Xenopus tropicalis: one gene and its partner. The protein of the gene in region 2 purifies or fractionates together with the protein of the main gene of each other region. This does not show direct contact. Links are inferred from orthologs where the notes say so. Each region holds a gene or a part of one and is shown on either strand. Other genes may lie near its edges.

Region 1 (3,500 bases), on a different chromosome or scaffold from region 2:
AAAGAGATGGAGCAGAGAGGGCCCCCTCCAGACTATCCCTCCAAGGTGAAGCAGATAGTCAGTCCCATGAACAAAATGCAAGAACAGGTTCATTATTACAATGAACAGCAACACCCTGGGGCTCAGGATGTAAGTAAGCCATTTCTAACCATACAGCCAGCCAGGAGTGAGGTCCTGCGATACCAGCACCCTCCCGAGTATAATATAACCAGGTAACTTCATAATCTGTTTGTCCCTTTGCTTGTGCCGTTACGTTTTTCATATTTCATGTTGAATAGACTGCATGGTGCTGATAAGTAACATATAGTATTTCATTGTATATCGTTACGTCACTGGCAGGTATGTTCCTGGTACATTGGGCTGCTGTATGGGTTGAGATATAGAGAACCTGTAAGACACGAGTCCCCCTCGTGTGTCCCCGGCTCAAACAGTGCTGCTACTGAAGTAGCCTAAATGCTTGTGTGCTGATCCAAATCTAGTTCTGTGCACACAAGTCTCATTGGCACATCCAGTTAATATATGGGAGCTGCATGGAGAACACTTGGAATGGAATGTATGATAGACCAGCATGGGGCTATTGTACATCCTTACAGAAACATCTTATACTCTGATAGAAAAATACCAATAAAATAGATACAGGTATGGGATCCCTTATCCAGAAAGCTCCAAATTACGGAAAGCCTGTCTCCCATTTTAATCAAATAATTCAGAATTGTAAAACTGATTTCATTTTTCTCTGTAGTAATAAAACAGTACCTGTACTTGATCACAACTAAGATATAATTACCCCTTATTGGGGGCAGAACAGCCCTATTGGGTTTATTTAATGGTTAAATGATTCCCTTTTCTCTGTAATAATAAAACAGTACCTGTACTTGATCCCAACTAAGATATAATTACCCCTTATTGGGGCAGAACAGCCCTATTGGGTTTATTTCATGGTTAAATGATTCCCTTTTCTCTGTAATAATAAAACAGTACCTGTACTTGATCCCAACTAAGATATAATTACCCCTTATTGGGGCAGAACAGCCCTATTGGGTTTATTTAATGGTTAAATGATTCCCTTTTCTCTGTAATAATAAAACAGTACCTGTACTTGATCCCAACTAAGATATAATTACCCCTTATTGGGGGCAGAACAGCCCTATTGGGTTTATTTCATGGTTAAATGATTCCCTTTTCTCTGTAATAATAAAACAGTACCTGTACTTGATCCCAACTAAGATATAATTACCCCTTATTGGGGGCAGAACAGCCCTATTGGGTTTATTTCATGGTTAAATGATTCCCTTTTCTCTGTAATAATAAAACAGTACCTGTACTTGATCCCAACTAAGATATAATTACCCCTTATTGGGGGCAGAACAGCCCTATTGGGTTTATTTAATGGTTAAATGATTCCCTTTTCTCTGTAATAATAAAACAGTACCTGTACTTGATCCCAACTAAGATATAATTACCCCTTATTGGGGCAGAACAGTCCTATTGGGTTTATTTCATGGTTAAATGATTCCCCTTTCCCTTAGGTGTTAGATCGTAGAAGGTTCATTTTTTATTTAAAGGGTAACTTACTGCATCAGAACCTACAGACTTTCTGGCCTCCAGTTACTAATTTGTACTGGTTTTGTGATGGATGAGGCACTTGTTTAGACCCTTGATGCTAAATACATGACTCCAGCATTGGAGAGGCTTTGTTTGCCCCCAGGGTTGCGACCTGGCTGGTAAAAATGCTTAGTGATGCAGTGCCACAACCACCCCCATGGTGCCCCTTGTTCATAATAGGAGATGGTGGCATCCCTCATTGGCTGAGGAAACAATATGGCAGCTCACAGATAAGGAAGACGCAAAGAAAAATCTTTATGTGCATATATGCCGGCCAGCCTATCCCCTATGCTATATCAGCCTCCCTATGGATATCAGTTGCTGATAAACCATGTTGACCATGGGAAATGCCGCTCAGATCACATTCCCTATAAAACTCAGTGTATTTCCCGTGGATCTGAAAAACGTGCCCGTCTCTTTCTCATGCTTGGAAACTGCTATATATATATAATTGGGATGGAGAGGTATTTGGGAAAAGAGAGCGTTTCAGCCTTCCAAGTGAGCGCAGCCAAGACCGTGGGAGTTGCACCTTTGGGAATATTTAATTGGAGCCGCCATGAGAAAAATTACAGGAGAGAAACAGAAGAGAGGAATATTTTATTGTTCTAAAGGGATGTATATATGCTGAAAATGCGTCTACTGCCAATATGGAAGCCATTTGTTTTCTGGAGAAGCGGTGATGAATGTGTCACCATGGACAACTAGGAATTTTATTGTTTCTAAATATACCGGGTTTGTAAATATTTAGCGTTTTTGTGGTTAAAAGATTAATTATATACAAGGAAGTGCTACCAGAAGGCACCACAGGGTCCTAACACCCATCTGTATGATACTTACGGCCAAGGTGTGACACCAAGCTCTTCTAGATATACCTGAAACCCATCTTCATGTCCATTTAGGGTCAGCTGAGAGGGGGGTGAATTTATTTGCTGTTCTAGATATGCTTGAATTTACACTACACAATATTTTCATACATCTGCAAGCTTGTGATGAGCTAAGGAGGGCCCAGGCCAAAGGTTGGTCATCCATGTGAGGCTTTAATGGAACAAATTCCAACCAAGTTAGTTATGTGAGAAGTTTGAGTGAGTGGGGTTAATTTACTGGGTACCAGTGAGTGTACCTATTCAGAATTAGTAATCCCAGATACAGAATGTGCTAATGAAACCCCTCTTTGGAAAGTTTTCCTGGGAGGTACCTGCTGGTAAGGAGGCCAGATTACTTACAAAAGTGCCCTAGTGCCCATAACGAGAGTCTGCTTAGGCAACACTGTCAGACTGAAGGCCTGTGCCCATGTGTTTCCAATATGAATATGTTCTTCACATCTGTATATCAAGCACTTTGTTCTGTTTGGACCTTCAGTGTTTCCCAGATGAAGTCCAGAAGAGTTAGTTGAGGGAAGGCAGGGAGGGGAGTGCCAAGGTCCATACAGTTGGGACATAATAAACTATATGCAGTCAGAAAGTTTTCACATTTTGTCTCACCATGTCCAGACACCATTTTTGAGTGTTAAATCCTTCTTCTAGATGGTGCTAGACTGCACCAAAACACAATAGAAAATGCCATAGACAATGCACCACCTGGTGGTGATTTTTTGTAGATTTTTCCCCCATGTTAACTGGAGAGACATAATGGGACAACATGGTAAAGGAACTTGGCTGCATCTGTATGTATGTTTGGCTGGGGCTAAGAGAAAGGATCTCTGGTCTTAAGGGGTTAAGTAGTGAAAGGCTCTACGTTTGCCCAGAAGCAGTAATCCATAGCAACCAATCAAAAGGTGGAATTTGCTGGTCACCTGTTTTAAAGTAAATATCTTATTGGTTGCTATGGGTTACTGCTCCTGGAGAGTGGCCGGGTTAGGGTTGAGAGTGGGCGGGTTAGGGTGAGAGCGGCTGGGT
Region 2 (3,500 bases):
TTGCTGAGAATAATATGCATATTATTGTATTGTTTTTGTATGGTAAAAGCATAGTCTAATTTTCATACAGTTGTTTTTTTACACAGTACTTTGTCTGAGCTCTTTTTTCAGAATGGTACTTTTCCCAGGGCACTGAAGAACCATTTTTGTTACTTGATTTTAAAGTTTTAGGGTAATGACACACAGAGCTGCTTGCAACCAGCTACAGAATAGACAGTACTGATGATTTCCTCTACATGTGTTTTAGCAGAGACAATTCTCAATATTGTATCTGCTAAAACACATGTAGAGAAAATAAGTATTGTCTATTTTGTAGTAGGCTGGAAATAGCTCAGTGTGTCATAGCCCTTAGAGCAGGGATTTCCAACCTTTTTTACTTATCATCCATATCTTGGTGAGCCACACAAGCGTGAAAAAGGTTCCTTAAGGATGCTAAATAAGGGCCTGTGATTGGTTATTTGGTAGCCCATGTGAACTCCTAACCTGCACAAGGCTCTGCTTGGACAAAAACTGTGTCTATATGCTTCCAAAACTTGTCTTCAAGCCAGAAATGTAAAAATGGGCACCTACTTTGAGGCGACTGGGAGCAACATCAAAGGGGATGGTGAGTTACATGTTGCTCATGAGCCACTGGTTGGGGATCACTGCCTTGGGTGGCAGAGTTTGTTGCCACTTGTTTTGATGAACCCTAATCCCTTTAAGGTGCTGCAATTGTCAGTATATCCCATTGAGTGGTCCAGATTGGGCCTGGTAACAGTTAAAGGAACAGTAACACCAAAAACTGAAAGTGTTTTAGGGATGCACCAAATCCACTATTTTGGGATTCAGCTGAACCCCGAATCAGCACATGCAAATAAAGGCACAGAAGTAAAAAGATCTGTGAGTAGTGAAAAATGTTCACCTTCCTTGTCTATGTGATAAAGTCACACGATTTTAAGGATTCAGATTCAGTTTGTCCAGGACCATTCTGGATTTGGAGCATCCCTATTTTTAAAGTGATTAAAATATAATTGACTGTTGCCCTGTACTGGTAAAAGTTTTGTGTTTGCTTTAGCAACATTACTATAGTTATATATATAAGTTGCTGTGTAGCCATGGGGGCAGCCATTCAAGCTAAAAGAAAGGAGAAAAGGCACAGGTTACATAGCAGATAACAGATAAAATACCCATGTATTCTACTGGTCTGTTATCTGCTATGTAACCTGTGCCTTTTCTCCTTTCTTTTAGCTTGAATGGCTGCCCCCAGGGCTACACAGCAGCATTGTTTTATTTATAGGATTCCTGAAGCAAACACACCAATTTACCAGTGCAGAGTAAACAGTACATTATGTTTTAATTACTTTGAAAGGAACAATAACACCAGATACAGTGTTTTAAAATAATTAAAATATAATGTACTGTTGCTTTGCTTTTACTGATCTATTTGCTTCAGGAAAACTACTAGTTTAGAAGGAATTAAGGGCCGCCTTCTGGGATCATAGGATTCACAGTGCACACTATCAAGCCAAGGCACACATACATGCTAGGCCACATCGGCCAATTAATGGACAGAGTTCTGCTTTTGCTTCCATGCTACTTCCTGTTACAGTTAGAGCTGCATTATTTCCTGTCAGGTGATCTCTGAGGGAGCACACAGCCCATCACTAAATGGTGTGTATATATATATATATATATATATAAAATAGATGTGTAGAAAGCACTCACAGCATATAAAAGTAAAACAAAAATGTATTTGTTTATTAGCTCATCGCATCTACGCGTTTCGATCCTAATAGGATCGTCATCAGGATCCTATTAGGATCGAAACGCGTAGATGCGATGAGCTAATAAACAAATACATTTTTGTTTTACTTTTATATGCTGTGAGTGCTTTCTACACATCTATTGTTTACTTTTTGGTTAGCACCCGGCTAGTGCTCTTGAAACGGTGAGTGCCGATTTTTTTTTGATTATATATATATATGGATCGTTTTCATTAAAGAAATTTTTTGTTTTCTAAAAAAGTCCCTGCGTGTGCGGCTCATTGTCTTGCTATATATATATATATATATATATATATGTGTGTGTGTAAAAAGGTCCCAAAAGGGACCGAAACGTCGGTTGTACATGCAATTTTAATACACGAGAGATTTTTTGAAACACAAAGACCCTTGGTGCTGGCTGTTTTATTTTGATATATATATGTGTATATATATATATATATATATATATATATTCCAGTTTGCCGAGATTCTTTAATAGGTCACTTAACATAAACTATCTGTTAGTTAGGTATTCATTCTGGGGGTATAGTTTTCCTTTAAATAATTTTCATGGTGGTCATTCTTATGAAATTTCAGAAAAGAAGACTGGTCTTGTGTGTCCTTAATAGGTTACGTTTGAATTATTCTAAAATTCCTCAGTGGCAGCAATGTAAAGTCCAGTTGCAGCCAGGCAAGAATGTTAATAATGCCATCAAGGGGAAAAGGATGTCACAGTGACACCTTCACAACATGTAACATTCTAACACCCTGCCTACAAGTCATTGACTTGTATCCACATGATTACGCTTGACTAGAATACAGGTCTGTTTTACTGCAAGGGTGAACCACAAGGGGTCAGTGTTAGTACAGGTTCAAGTATAGCATTTTTAATTATTAAACACTAACACTGTGAGGAAGTGCTTCTTCCCGCTGTTTATTTTTCTCCCTTTCAGAGCTTTCATTAACTAAACGCAATTAACAAAATATTTTATTCTTGCAAAGCATGAGTCTAAATAAATAGTTGTAAAGCTCTATATCTGAGACAGATCTTTGTTTTACCTTCATGTTTAATTCATAAATAACTACCATTTTCAGTACAGCCGCATAATAGGGTTATAAACAACACATGCACAAGGTTGAGAAAACAGGGTGGCAGCAGAGGTCCTGCCGGTGATTTCAAATTAATTTTAAGGATGTCTACATATCACAATGCATATTAAAAACCATAATAATGTGTTCTGTGATGGGTGTGGCTGCTGAGACAAGTTTTTACTCTAAGGTTTGGTTGTATTTAATAACACAGCGCCACAGCTTTTAAAGACAGGTTTATACTCTTATGGATTGTTGAAACTTGTTAAAAAAAAAAAAATCCTTGTTATGCCTTAGTAGTCCCTTGTATCACTTTTAACTTGTTGCATCTCTATAGATGGAACGGCAACGCCTGGCACGGGAAAAACAACTGAGGGAAGAGGCGGAAAGAGCCCGGGATGAGCTGGAAAGAAGGCTGCTGCAGCTAAAAGAAGAGGCTCAGATGGCCAATGATGCATTGGTAAGACTTGTCTGTAGAGCCAGGTATTTCATGATTTATTAATAGTGTTACCCATACATATCTAAGCTTGAATGACTTTCTAACTAAACATGTGAGAAGTCATTGTGCTAATGGGGAATGAAAGCTGTTTGCAGCATCGTCAGGCTTCTGTTACTATTTGAGGTCTCTTGTATCTGGGATTGCTAATAAACAGCTCTGTATTGCTGTTC

What was found. Proteins that work in one complex are often made in the same cells at the same time.
Region 1: the proteins of nf2 (region 2) and amotl1 purify together in Homo sapiens (affinity purification with mass spectrometry; 6 studies listed by BioGRID and IntAct, counting the BioPlex papers as one, with this or other methods). This does not show direct contact. The link is inferred for Xenopus tropicalis from reciprocal best matches to the Homo sapiens genes NF2 and AMOTL1.

Annotation. Positions count from the first base shown.
Region 1 is NC_030678.2:164,971,071-164,974,570, reverse strand, and holds part of amotl1 (angiomotin like 1), read left to right. Parts: coding exon 1-212; intron 213-3,500. UniProt on the Homo sapiens protein: Inhibits the Wnt/beta-catenin signaling pathway, probably by recruiting CTNNB1 to recycling endosomes and hence preventing its translocation to the nucleus.
Region 2 is NC_030677.2:144,769,172-144,772,671, reverse strand, and holds part of nf2 (merlin), read left to right. Parts: intron 1-3,168; coding exon 3,169-3,291; intron 3,292-3,500. UniProt on the Homo sapiens protein: Probable regulator of the Hippo/SWH (Sav/Wts/Hpo) signaling pathway, a signaling pathway that plays a pivotal role in tumor suppression by restricting proliferation and promoting apoptosis.